2 linked regions of the Struthio camelus genome follow. The protein of the gene in region 1 purifies or fractionates together with the protein of each later gene. This does not show direct contact. Links are inferred from orthologs where the notes say so. Each region holds a gene or a part of one and is shown in the gene's direction. Other genes may lie near its edges.

The links. Proteins that work in one complex are often made in the same cells at the same time.
Region 2: the proteins of SRPK1 (region 1) and DROSHA purify together in Homo sapiens (affinity purification with mass spectrometry; 3 studies listed by BioGRID and IntAct, counting the BioPlex papers as one, with this or other methods). This does not show direct contact. The link is inferred for Struthio camelus from reciprocal best matches to the Homo sapiens genes SRPK1 and DROSHA.

The regions. Positions count from the first base shown.
Region 1 is NC_090965.1:5,012,475-5,019,548, forward strand, and holds the start of SRPK1 (SRSF protein kinase 1), read left to right. Parts: upstream 1-4,028; 5' UTR 4,029-4,221; coding exon 4,222-4,324; intron 4,325-4,428; coding exon 4,429-4,489; intron 4,490-7,074. UniProt on the Homo sapiens protein: Serine/arginine-rich protein-specific kinase which specifically phosphorylates its substrates at serine residues located in regions rich in arginine/serine dipeptides, known as RS domains and is involved in the phosphorylation of SR splicing factors and the regulation of splicing.
Region 2 is NC_090943.1:91,265,927-91,273,105, reverse strand, and holds the start of DROSHA (ribonuclease 3), read left to right. Parts: upstream 1-4,147; 5' UTR 4,148-4,203; exon of another isoform or gene 4,204-4,216; intron 4,217-5,436; exon of another isoform or gene 5,437-5,548; intron 5,549-6,610; 5' UTR 6,611-6,617; coding exon 6,618-7,179. Other genes in the region: C2H5orf22 (UPF0489 protein C5orf22 homolog), read right to left, coding at 1-26, 1,214-1,359, 3,985-4,083. UniProt on the Homo sapiens protein: Ribonuclease III double-stranded (ds) RNA-specific endoribonuclease that is involved in the initial step of microRNA (miRNA) biogenesis.

The DNA.
Region 1 (7,074 bases):
GTGGTTCTCCCCAGCATTTGATCCTTTTTTTCTTTTTAGTTTTGTCTTTTTCAGAGTTCTTAAAATAGACAGCTTGGCTAATGCCTACAGTAATTCTGTTGTTCTGAACAAAAAGCAACATTTATATTATTACTTTGAAGCGCTTCCAAATACATATGCTACCCAGCAATGAAGAAAGCAGAAAAATGTCAAAGCACAAGACAGAATTAGCTATAAAGCTTGGAATTATCAAATGACTTGCACTCCTTTTCTGAAAGTCTGTAGATGTTTGTTTAAATGCTCTAGCTTAGCACTTTTTATATATTTATTGCTTGCTAGTTAATGAATCTAATCTGCTGCATTTCAACAGGTTACATGCAGGCAGTTTCATTATCTTCAGATGTATGTAGAATTATGTGAAGCTTTACAGAAAAGCATTTTATTATTAATATTCCACACTTTGAAATTGATATTGTCTGCACCATCATAACATGACATCTGTCCTTTAAGTATTTTTAACTTGTTCCCTTTCTGTTCAACTATAACTAAATCCTAGTAAACAAATTTTTTTTTTCAGGTTTTGGTAGTCCTTTACTGAAATAGCGAAGAATGGAGGAGTGCATTCACTTTGTTCTGAAGAGCCAGGAAAATTAGAATAAGATGCACTTAGTGCTTGGGGGAAAAAAAAATCAACTTAACGATTTTTTCTTTAGATCAGCCATAGTTTGAAGCAGTAATACAAATACAGATGCGTGAACTAGGATTGCACTGAAAGCAGCAGCTTTTAACTATATGAGCAATATACCTCACAAGTCTTTACCATGCCCTCATCTGGACGATTATCCCATGGCTCAAATTGCCTAGTGTGAAGAGTTGTAGGTGAAACTAATTTTGGATGGGTAGCCAGTAGGTAGGGGTAGGTGTCTATATACCATTCAGACCCTACTTTAGGGCAAAGATTTGATTTAAGTAAGTGATGCATCCTTTATGAGCAGATACTATGCTCTGGGCTAAATTCCTTCAGCTGTGAACAGCTCTAAGTTTTGCTGCTGGGCGTTGTGTGGTTTCTCAAGGTGGCTTCTCTGGATTCTGCTGCTTCTGGCTGTTAAGTTTTAGCAATGATAATAGGAATATTAATATTAAACTATCTGTAATGTATTCCAGTGAGTCCTTCTCATCTGTTTCTCTTTTTTCCTTTAAATTCTTATTGTTTCCAAGCAGTTTCTGGAGGAAAGACATAGTACTGCATATGTAAACTGCAATGGTAAATGATTTTAGTGAACATTCTGGGTAGAGTTGCTTACTGTGGAGGAAACGGAGTCCTGGAGCCTTCATACCTTTTGGATTGAAAGACAGGAAAAACTGAAAGCTTAAATAGTATTGAGTAATTCTCAAACCACATATGCTTCCCTGCATTGTTTTGGACAGTGGCTTCAAGCCAAACTCCTCTCAGCTCTGTTCAAAACAGAGTAATATGAAAACCATGAAAAGCATAACCCTAATTTCCAGATTCTGTTGGCTCTCCTATGGCAGCCTTGATTTAGGATGAAATGGCTTTCCTAACTCCTGGCAGCATGGCAAGTCTCCATTGCAAACTTTAGAGATTTTTTTGTTGGCTTGCTCAGCACAGATCTGAATCTTTCCTTCCCACCCCCATGACTGTGCACAGTTGAGCAGCAGGGGACAACTCTGACGTCAGTATGTGAGCTTTCAAATTATGGGTATTCATGTTGCAAAACAAATATCTTGCTGAGAGGAAGTCCAGACAATTCTGATCTTTTTCCCTTATAGCTGTGCAGTGACTTAACTCTGCTCCTGCATACATAGACAAGGCTTCTGTGTCTAGCCAAGCACCAGTCCCTGGACACAGGCCGTGAAGTGACAAAGCACGTACTTTATGGCCAAGGACTCCACCTATACCTCTAAAAAGCCACAGAAGTAGAAGTCAGAGTTCAAAGGCCTGTCTGTAATCTTGTGTTTGTAGGCAGCTTGACGTTCTCACCTTGCAACAACTAGTTGCAACAACTACAGTTGTTTGATGCCCTTCGCAGCTAGTGCGATGCCATGTTTTTGTAGCAGGGCACGCTGCAGAAACCCAGGCAGCTCTGCCATAGCACTGCATTAGAAACATCATCATGCCTTTTATCATTGCAGAGCACAAAGCGTGTGTAACCCCCCAAACCCCCATTGTCATTCTGTTAACATTTTACATCAGTTTGTAATGGCTACAAAAGACATAAAGCAGTAGAGGAACCTCTGGAGTCATGCACAGAGTGGCAGAAGCAGTTCTTGGGGCAACGCACTGTGGTGTGTCACACTGCACAGGGAGTTATGAAGAAAGACGAGATAAACCGGTTATGTATGGGCATAGTTAGGGGACATTTATTAAATAGTGCCAGGCTGTTGTGTGGAAAGACAAGGCTGTCTTGGCTTGGGGTCAGCAACCCTTCGAGGGTGCTACTTCAGATTCTATTTTTCTATCCCAGGTTGGAAGAGTCCTGGAAGAAACTCAGCAGCAGCGAAAGACGCTCCTACCACTGATCAGTAATACCTTGCTTCTGCGTGAGACCTCTGCACGAGGCTCCCCGTTCAGACCACAGTGCAGGCAGGGGGTCCTCGGGAGCTACCACCCGAGGGCCTGTGATCCCCGTCTCTGTGCTTGCTTTGCTCTGTTGCTTTCCAAATCTGGCCACGTGCCACCTTTGGTGTCCTCGCCGCAGGTTGCAGAAGCCTGGCCTAGGCCACAGGAAGTATGAAATGGAGCAGTAGTCACGGTAGGTGTGAACACACCTTGTCAGAGCCAACCGCGCGAGTCATTTATTACAAACACAGGACGACAGATCCCACTTAAGGCACAGGAACGTGCCGCCTGTAAACTGAGATTGTAATAGCTTCTCTCCCTGCGGACTGCTTATATTGTGACTTCTGTGAGGTGGAAGTTTTCCTACAGGGTTGCTGTACGGTAGGTTACTAGCAAAGGAGAGGCTCCATCATGCTTAAAGCTCAACCTTAGTTTGAATGCAGCAGTTGCGTAAAGAAGGTCCACGTTCCCCCTTTACCCAAGGGCGTGGGGGGGCTGCCCTTTTCCCGCTGCGTTGCATGAATACCAGGCACTCCAGCGTTCTAGTTCCTCACTTAAAACCCTTTGCAGGAGAACAGGTAGACGTATTTCATTCCCAGAGCTTGCCGTGAGCAATACGGCAGCAACTAGGAAGTTAGGAAGAGGGCTCTTCCTTGCGCCTCCCGAGACTGCGCGCCCGCGCACCCGTAGCCGCCGCCCCGCGCGGAGCCCGATGCCCAAGGGCCGCTGCTGCCGCCGCCGGCGGCTCCCTCTGCTGGCGGCACCGGCCGCCGTTCGGGCTAAACGGGCGTTGAGCACAGCCGCGGAGGGGGGACGGCCCGGCAGGCGGGTACCGCTTCCCAGGAATTTGTAGCCTTCAGTTTCAAGTACTTACAGCGAGATGCTCAGGTAACCCAGCAGCCTACAAGTCAAACGCTTCGCGTGACCTACGTTACGGAACCGTGGGCATCTAAGCCCCGACGGGCGTTTCGAGCCGTTACAGGCGGCACAGCGCCCACCGAGCTCCTCAACGCCAAACGCGACGAAGCCGGGTACGTTCTGGCCAGCAGGTCGCCGCCACCATCCGGCGACGCCAACGCCTGCGCGCGCTTCACGGGCCAGCAGGTGACCAAGGTCCCCGGCCGCCGTGGCGAGCAGAGCTGACACGCCGCGGGAGCGTTCGCCACGATGGCGCCACGCGCGGGGGCGGTTGGGGCTCGCCCGCGTCACTCCTGCGGGCGCGCCGCGGGACGGCGGAGGCTCCGTGCCGACCCCGGCGCGCCCCCCCCCACCCCTCCGCCTGACGTCACGCGCGCGCCCGCGGCGCTGACGCCACACACGCAAGCGTCGACGTCACAAGCCGTGCGCGCCCCGGCCGCGCTCCCCGGCGCCGCGCGTGCGCGCTCGGCACCATGTCCCTGCCGGAGGCGGCGCCAGGGCCCGCGGCGGGCGGGCGGGGGCGGGGCCAGGAGCGGGGGGGCGGGGCCTCCCCGGGCGGCCCCGGCTCCAGCCTCTCCCCCAGCAGCAGCTCGAGCAGCGGCGCCGCCAGCAGTAGCAGCAGCAGTAGCAGCAGCAGCAGCGGCGGGGGCGGGGGCGGCGGCCGCCGCCGCCATAACAACGACGACGAGGGCGAGGCCGCGTGGTGGCGCGCGCCGCGGCGCGCGAAGGTGCTCAAGCCGCGCATGCTCCGCCCGGCGCGGCCTGGCGCGGCGCAGGGGACGGGCCCAGCGCGCAGGCGCGCGGGGCACCCGGGGCCACCGGCGCTAGCGGCCATGGAGCGGAAAGGTGAGCGCCGCGCCCCCTTCCCCCCCCCCCCCCCGCCGCCGCGCCGCTCCCCCCTCCCCATCCCCCTCCCCCGCACCCCTCACGCCTCTCTTGTCTCCCCGCAGTGCTGGCGCTGCAGGCCCGGAAGAAGCGGACCAAAGCCAAGAAGGACAAGGCCCAGAGGAAGTGAGTGCGGCCCCGGCCTCCCGCCGAGGGGGCTCCCCGCGGCTCCCGCCGCTTTGTTAGGCCCGGCGGCCTCCCCCCCCCCCCTTCCCCGCGGCGCTGAGGCGGCCCGGCCCGGCGGGGGGAGGGTGGCGCCGGGCCGCTGCAGCTCGGTCCAGGCCGCCGCGGAGGCTGGGTGCCCGGTGGGGGCGGCGGTTGACGCGGGTTTCGCCGGAGGCGCGTTTCGTGGCGCTGCCGCCGCCGGGGTTCCCCGAGGCCGTGACGGCGCCGCCGCCCCCTGCTCCCGCCGCGCCCGGCCGCCCGTTTCGCTCCGCCTCCTGCCCCTCCGGGCCGCGGGACGAGCCCCCTCTCTGCGAGTCCCCCGGCCCTTCAGCAGCTGCTGGCTTCGGAAACCGGCCTCTCTTGACTCTTTTCCCCTGCTTTTCTTTTTTTTTTTTTTTTTATTTTTTGTTCCTCCTCCTTTTAATCTTGTCCTAAAAACGTTACGATGTGCCGTTTGCTTCTTTCTCTGACTTTAATGCTTTTATGTGGCTTCTTTCCTACCACAGGAATTTCGCAGGTCTTTATGTGTGGTGAGCTTTTGGATGCAGATATAAAAATTAAAAGATCTAGAGTAAATATTAAGCAATGGCTTCTAACAGAATGCTTTGAGTGCTGCGTTCAGTGCTGCTTATGGGTTCCTTTCTAGTGAAAGGTGGTGTAAATCCTAGAGCCGGTCCCGTATGCTCAGTAAAATGCTGCTTTTTTTGTGCAAAAACTCTGATATCTTATGAGATTTTTATACTTGCTTATGCCTAGGAATCAAAGGTATTTGCTAAGGCTTGGGGGGTTGGGAGCTGGATAGGTTTTTTTTTTTAGACTTAGAGTAGTTCTTTCTTAGTCATTTCCTCTGACAGATCAGTTTGAGGGTTTTTTTTTTTTGAATTTTCTGGTCGATTATTGCCTCCAGCAAGGATTCAGTCGTTTTGAGACGAGTTCTGAGAGGTGAGGAAGATCAAATGAAACCCTTTAGGAGATGTGTGTATATATATTTCTGCATGGCTTGCTAGACACCACTGAATATCTTGAAGATAGCGTTAGGGCAGTTTTACAGAGCCTCTTCTTCTATAGTATTATCTGTGTCTTAATTTCTGAATGAATAATCATTTGTTTCATTATATGCCTGCCTACTTTCTCTGTCCAGCTGCAGACAAACAATACTGACTCTACCAATAGAGTCCACGGCTGCAGTTGGTAAGACTGTTATTTATACGAATCCTGAAACTGTGGAATGATAACTTTCAGTTCTGGCATGTTTTCTAAAAATCCTTTTTAATGAAATAACTAGAACCAGTACTTACCAGCACCGCTGGTTAGCTGTCGATTTTGCTGCTAACCTTGCTTTGAGTGAGGAGCCATACTATTTGTAAAATGCTGTGCTTATCTTCTTAAATTGCACTCTTCCTCAAATCTGTTTTCTAGCATCATAGGTTTACTAGATCCTACCTCAGAAAGTAAAGAAACTTGCTTGTACATTGTGCTCTGTGTCAGATAGTGAAAAGAACCCTGTATTAGCCTCTAACTTAGAGGTGCAGTACTACAAGGTTTATGCTGTTTAAATGCAAAGCTGTTCTAGCTAAATCTTCTAAAACAAGCTTAACTGGGTTCTTGTAAGACCTTTTCTTAAAACCTAAGCTTGCATCCTGAAACACACGGAACGTCCTTTTAACGTCTGATGTTCAATGGTAGTTGGTTGGATTATACACTCGTAATTTTTCCTATATGAGAGACAGTAAAAAAGGATGAAACAGCTGACTCTTTAAAATTAAAGACTGGTAAGTATTTAAAGTCATCTTGTCATTGGTAAGTATAATGTTGCAAAGAATGTTCTGAAGACATTTGAAGTAATCCAAATTGTCTTTCACTTTAGAAATGAGCTACCACCTGCTTTAGGTTTGCTATCAATCCAATCTGGTTAAAAAAAACAGGGAGAAAAAACACTTATAGAGAAAAGGTTAAAACAAATGAAAATTGACTGTGCAAAGTGCAAAACTAGATAGTTATCTCGGTTTTTCATCTTCCAGTAGTTAAAATTGCTGCTATTTAGGTTCAGATAAGACCAGCCTAAATGGGTTATTTAAAGAAGCCCCTCTTAAGTGCTAATTACAGTTCCATGTGTAAGTTTGTTTTTTTTTTTTTTTCCCCCCAATGGAATGGTCAACAAAGTTCTTTCTGCAATTTCAAGTTGTTCCTCTTTCTTCCCTCCTACCCCTCTTAAAGTTTTATTTACTTATTTATTTTAATTGGTGGAGGAGCAAAAGCATTGATCCAAGTGTCCTGTTTTGGTGAAGGAGAGCAGGCAAAGATTCTTGGTAATATGAAGGTGAGAACCTGTGTGTGTCGTCTTCAGTAAAACTACCCCAAATCTTCTGGGAAGCCGGAAGAATCATCTGACTGCCTGTCTCAGATCTTCACTGGGAAAAGTTCTACTTGTCTAGCCTACTCTTCTGTCCTATGCCTATTGTTGTGGAGTTGGAAGAGTAATGTGGCTGTGCGCCTTTTGGCCCAGCTCCCGTTTTGGTGAGAACTGAGGAGGAGGAAGGACAGGG
Region 2 (7,179 bases), on another chromosome or scaffold:
TAATCCAGTTCTCAATACTTAATTCACTGGAATGAATGAAGAAAGACTGGAGGTTACACTGTTAGCTCCCCTGTAAGTAAAACACGGTCAAGAGCACTACAAGTATCTTCCATATCTTGAAAGTACACACACAAATCATCTGAAGTAAGAACACTGTGCACAGGTCACATGATCAAAAAAGTAGGAGGGAAAGCTTAATTCATAAGAAGAACCCAAAACGTCTGTAGCAGAACGAAAAAAAAAGGATTATAGGTCAGGGTCAGCTTCACTCTTAGTAGGCTTCTTTGACTATAAACGACATGGATTTGTTGCCCTTTCTCTCTTGATGTATCAGACAGAGGAAAAGTGCAAAGATCATGATCAACACTATTTTAGACAGCTCTGAATTGACCTCAGAGTATTTTGCTGTCAAGTACTCTAAACAGGTTTTAAATATCATCTCAGTGCTGAAAAGCAATCAATCAGCACCTACAGAATAAAAATCGATCCTTACTATCAATATGCTATCTCTTTAAGCGCACAAAACGGCTCCCAAAGTTTCTTATTTATCCAACAAAAAAAGTAAGATATTGACTATTGATAGAATGACACAGCTACTTACGTACTAATTACATCATCCTTTGATTGCTGTGAATCACCATTCCATACTGAAGTAGTCAAGAGTCATTTTAAAATGGGAAGAGAAAGACAATAAAGGTCACTCTGTGCCTTGTTACCTTCTTCAGAAGTTGGGGTAAAATATTGGTCCTCATGATATTAATGAGAAAATCTTGTTCAACTTCACACATTCAGCATGTCACCACAGATGATGCTATTGCAACCTCAAAGCAGATTTTTCAGACTGAGGACAGAAAGGCTGTTCTAAACCTACAGCTCTTCAGATCAAAAGGATCAGCACTTAGGAGTACTGTCCTGTTATCCAGAGAAATAACCTGGCCTAATAACACGACATACTACTAAACAACTAAAAGTAAATTCGCAAGTCTCAGGTTTTCTTGATATGCAACATAAATATTTGACCACACTCATAAAGCACACACATAACTTCCTCCCCACAAAAAAACCAAAGTGTTCAGCAAAAGTGAAAGGATGGAAGACACAACTTGGGGCTGCTTTACACCTGCTGTATGAAAAGTTAAACGAATACGGACTGTAAATCAAAGGTAGCAAGAAGTGGACTTCAGGTATTCTGATGCAGTACACAGGACTTTACCTAAAAAGAGCTTCTTTGTCAAATACGGTGTCTGCTGGCATATTTACGGGAATAAGGAGGTCTGGATGGGAGTCAAGATGAACAAAGCTGATGTTACTGGCAGGAAGGTGCTTTGAACCAATGGCGCGATAGATGAAAGGCAGAACCTAAAACAATACGAACAAAAATATTTCAGTTATAACCAGCAAGCTGAAAAACGCAATGACGTTAATAGCAAAAATACCAGCCCCTCTCCTCTTTGCTTCTTTTGAATTTGGATTATTTCTTGGGAGAAGGAGAAGGAGACTGAAAACAAAGGGATACCACTCCAACAGCAAGACAGCCGAAGAACCGTGAATCACTATGAACCCAAGAGTTTCATACATGGCCAGTTGCTGCAGAATCATAGCTTTACTCTTTCTTTTCTTCCTTATAGGAAGTCTTGTTTGTAGTAGCTCTTCTGATTAATAATTTAATACACTGCCTAGTTTTTTTCTTTTCAACTGATCCCCAGAAATGCCGTCTCTCTTCCGCTGAAGATTACCCCCTACACTTCCTTTTCCATGCTATAAAGCTTAGCCACAACCTATGCATGGGGCTGCGGAGATACAAACTTCTGAAGCCCCACTAACAAAATGTTAACTGATACAGGGTGAAAACTGACCCGGCTACCATTTAAGCTTTAGCTGATCTTTAAACCTATTCCTCTGGAGAAAAAGTTTAATTCCCAATCCCTGCAGGACTTAGCGGCTGCAATGAAAAGACTACCTTCCCCAGCTGCCCACTTAAAAGTGAGAAAAGCAGATGGGTAGATGTGTCAATTTACGGCATAACAAAGCACTGATGTGCAATACTGTCAAGTGGGATGAGACAACTGAAGGCTAATTCACGATCCTTCTTACACTGAGCTGCAGTAGACGGAGCTTCTCCCACAGTTACAGGCCGGTAACTGCCTTAGCTGCCAGAACAAATCTAGCAAGAATTGTGAACCAGATCGCTACTATACAGGGAGCATGAAAACTATAAAAAGACTGGGCAATATAAGCTACACGGGATCTCTGTATTTAAATGCAAACTGAGCTACTTTTTAAGCATAAAACTGATTAAGATCACAAATCCTGAATAGTGAGTGTACATAACCATAAAATCTGACACTTAGTTGAAATTTGGATTGTATTTCACCAGACCGGCTATAAATTCTCAGTTTTCCCACTACTTATGCAATGATATATATCCTACTGTAATAATAGATAAAAATAAGGTTGAAAATAACAGTGATTCTCTGATCTATGATTTCCAGTTCTTCACAAAAGGCAAATGGCCTACCTGTACAACCTACAATGTTGACAGGTGAAATTAGTTTAATCTCATGGAAGTGTTAGCGCAAATTCTGAAAACAGAGCAGGATGAGGGAGGAGACAAAAGCCTAGAGTCCCTTACATTGCAAGTTCTGCTGCTTTGGGTTGAGAACAAAATTCCCTTCCCGCTAGCTGTTATTATTAATCAAAGCATGGTGCCTCTAGTGTCATCTACCCCCAGAGAAACTTCAACGTCAGTAATTCATCTGGACTATACATAGTTTCTGGGAAGTTCTTACGCTTTGAGGTAAAAGCCTATACACGTTTTATATAAGACAGATCAATGTATATACATACATATATTGAAAGTACAGCATATATATTTGGTAGGAAGAGTCTTTGTTAACCTAATTCAAAAGAGAAGTACTGAAAGCAAAATAAAGAAGAATTATTAACAGACATTATCTCAGTACTTCTATTACAGTGACACTCTTAGTCCGTGGTTACTGCAGAAAACCAGCCACCACAGCATCAACCATTTCAGCGAGTCTTGGCAAAAATAATCCTCATTAAATTATCTACTTTCAAGTTCAGAATAACGTTTCCCTTAATAAACTGTATCACGCTAGTGCTTTTGCAAAACAGCAATAGAGTTAATGCTTTTCATTTTTTTCTCCACCAGTTCTTTATGCCCCAGAAATGCTTGCTGAAATTAGTGGGCTTTTGTGCCTTTGGGTAAAGAATTTGCTTACTTTGGATTACAGCCTCAACTTGTGCTATAATAAAGAAACTCTCTGAGAAACCAGAAACAGCACTTCAAAAGCAATCCTTTGCAAAGGATTGCCTTTTTAAACTAGCTATCATTAAAAACAAGCAAACAAATAATATAAAGCACCAAATTTGACATCTCTCAGCTACTGACAGTCAATGTGCTGGTTAGAGTGTGCCTCATACGTTGCGTAGGCCTGAGTTTCTAAGCAGTACGCTAGGACCTAGCTAATTCCAGAAGCAGTAAAACGTGGGTGTTATTTTCTTTTAAACACAGAAACCATGGGGGAAAAAAAAAAAAAAAGAGAAAGAGAGTGAAATAACTACTTAAAACCCCACCAGCCTGCCCTAATGGCACCAGCTACATGCATCACTGGATCACGACGGGGCTCCACATCATCTGGACACTGAACTTCACTCGTGTGCCACTAGCCAGACCGGCCCGAGGAGGCTGGTTTTCGCGCCCCCAGGGCAGCGGGCACGGCTGGAAGAAGAAACCGAGAAAGACAGAAAAGGGTTTGTTTTTTTTTTTAACCCCCCCAAATACCCACGGCCCAGAGAAAGGCCGCGACCCGCCTCTCCCCTGCCGCTACTACCCGAGGGGCGGCCGGGCCGGGCCGGGCCGGGACCCCGGCGGGGGGGATGGTGGTGGGGCCCCGGGAGGCGGCTGCACCCGCTGAAGTGACGGGCCTGGGGCTGGGCCGGGCGCGCCGCGCACTCACTCACATCCTGGTGGTCCTCCACCACCCACACCGGCAGCACCGGGTAGGCCCTCCGGCCGGCCCCGGCGGGGCGCTCCCCGGGCGGGCGGCCCCCACCGCTCATGTCACGGCGGCCCGGCTCCCTCCGGGTGGCGGCGGCGGCTTCCGCCCGCGGCGCCCCGCCCCGCGCCTTCCTCTTCCGGAGCCGGCGCGGGCGGCGGCGGCGGCGGCGGCGGGGCAGCAGGTGGGCTGCGCGGGTGCGTGCCCCTCCCGGGCCGGGGCGAAGCAGCGCATCGACCGCCGCCGTGGCGACGTGGCCCCGCGGGCCGTTGTGATGGCGCAGCCCCGCTGGCCGAGGGGCGGCCGGGGCGCCGCGCGGGGCTCGGCGGCGGCTGGCGGTCGTTGCCGCTGCGGTGATCGCCGGCCGTGCGTAAACCTGCCCTTCCCGCGCGGGCGAAACTGGCGCCGTTTGAGGGCAGGCGGCGGGCGGTGCCGGCCCGGGCCGCCCTGAGGGCAGGGCCCCGTCGCGCCGGCCCTGCGCCGGGGCGGGTGTCCGCGCGTGTCCGTGTCCGTGTGGCGCAACGGGTTTCTCTTTGTGGGTGGAAGGAAGGGCATGACTCGTCATCGGTTTTTTCCCACTGAAGTTCAAAGCGAACCTGAACGCGGTGAAAAATTGCAGCAGCGGGAGCTTTAAAATAACCTGAAATAATTTTTTTTTTTTTTTTTTTGCCTTCCCTGCTGCCTTTGGCTCTGCGTTTCGGTGCGTTCTGAAGTGCTTGAACTGTGATCGCAGAAACCAGAGGAAACCTCTGAAGGTGCAGATAAGCTCGGAGAGAGCTGGTAAAGGAGACCTTTTGTTTGAATGCACTGGCACGTGTTAAGAAGAAACGTGCCTTACGTTAAGGCACCAGTACAGTACAGTACAGTGGGTTTCCCTTTACTTCATTCAAGGGGATAAAAGATTGGCTCAGCCTGTTTAAATAAAATTTGTATGTAAATGTCAGCAAAGCACAAAACAGTGTACTGGCAGAAGCCTGCGCTAGGTGAGTTATAACTGCTGACCTGAGGAAAAATGGTCCAGCGTTTAATGGACTAGAATTAAGGATGACAGAAAGTAGCGCTGCTGCCAGACAAACTCGTGAAGGTGTGGAGTAGATTTTTTTTTCCCTGTCATTTCTTTTTGAGACCCTTTAAAAGACCTGAGGGTACTGAACAGACCGGGGTTGCCTGGAAGGAATCAGTCAGTGGCTTTACATGTCTGCTACCTCCTAGAAACGTGTTGATCCGCCCTTATCCTGCTGGCCTTTGTTGTCCACTTGCTCAAACGAGGGAGGAAATGCCCCACCACCACTTCCAGTGGCTTCAACCAAGCCCTGAGCATGGGACGGGAGACTTGGGGTCCTCCTGGTACCTCTTCCTCAATGTGCATCCTTTCCCCCTGTTTCATTTCTTTTCCGTTTTTTCCCTTCGGTTCACTAGCAGAAGTCTGGCATCAGTCAGCAAGCTTCATCCTTTGCAGCGCTGGGACCAGAATGCAGCCAAAAGTAGTACTCTGAGCAGCCCACGTTTGCCGGGTTACAGGGTAGCAGGTGGGAGACTATTCCCTATGTGTACTTCTGCATCGGTAAAGCCACTGTAAAAAGGAGGCTTTGTTTTCTGTGTCTGGTGATCTTTCCGCATACGTGTTTATGTGTCTCTCTCTTATAGAGAACAGGATTTGACATTTGCAGCTGCAGGATCAACTGTTTTTTTCCCCCTCTCTCCCTCCCTTCCACCCAACATATCATTGTTGATGTTTTATTTTAAATATTTTTTCCTTTTTCCCAGTTTTTGAATTTTGAACATTTTAATGAAAAACTAATTTTAACTTCAATATGCCACAGCAGTTTTCATTTTTAAACTTTAATACCGTAGTACATTACATACAACACATGCTTTTGAGCAAGACTTCAGCCCGCTTAGAGCAGTGCCTATTGCCAGCAAGGTAACACGGCCAATTAGGTACTTCAGGAATTTTGAAAATGTTTGTTTATTGAAATTGGAACAAACCACAGTCCACGTACGTTTTTGTGGGTCACAGTAAATTTTTATGTACCTAACTTTAAAATATCTGTTGAATTCAGTCCTGTACGAAATTGGGACTTAACTGTGAATATAAATTCCCATTATCTTGTTTAAGATTTATGTGATTTTTTTTCACTGGACCAGGCAACTCACGATGGCATGTTAGTAAAGTTGTTCTACCTGAAGTTTAGAATAGTGTTCTAGGAAGAACTCCTTGATGTAAGACCTTGGATGACTCCTACCTTTGTTAAAATGAGCGATCTCTTTGGTGTGGGTGTCTGAAGACTTTATATTAAAGCATCCATGACCATGAGGGTATGGTCCCACCTGGATTCTGGATTAGAGGCAGGAGAGTGCATTAGTGGATTAGAGACTTAGGGGAATCTTGGGGGAATAATGACCTGTACTACAGCACTGAGGAGCACAAAGCTCACAATGAAAGCCAGTGGTCGTCATCTGCTGCTCCTATTAAAAGAAACTGCAGAAATCATAATTTAAGCACTTTGTGCATTTCCTGGAACTACTTCCAAAGAACCTCATAGAAAAACTTTGTGACACTGTACATTTATTTATTTTCTTCTTTAAAGGTGAGCCATGTCTTTCCATTCCGGACGAGGGTGTCCCCGCGGCCAGGGGGGACCAGGAGCACGAACTTCAACACAGACCTACCGACCTCAGAACCTACGGCAGCTTCACCCACAGCAGCCCTCTGTGCAATACCAGTATGACCAGCAAACGGCCCCTCCGACAACCTATTCAAACCCTCCAGCCACTGGTTACATGCCTCCCAGGCCAGACTTTGTGCCGTATCCTCCTCCAGTGCCCCCTTCCACACAGAGTCCCATCAGCCAGTGTCCCATGAGGCCACCTTTTCCAAACCATCAGATGAGGCAGGGTTTCCCAGTGCCTCCGTGCTTCCCTCCCGCTCCTCCACCAGTGCCAAATCCTAGCAATACTCCTGTGCCAGGAACTCCGACGGGGCAAAACACATTTCCTTACATGATGCCGCCCCCGACAGTACCGCATCCTCCCCCACCCCCAGTCATACCGCAGCAAGTCAACTACCAGCCTGTTTACTCCGCAGGGTATTCACAGCAGTCATTCCCCCCTCCGAACTTCAATAGCTATCAGCACAATTCCAGCTCTTTCCAGAGCA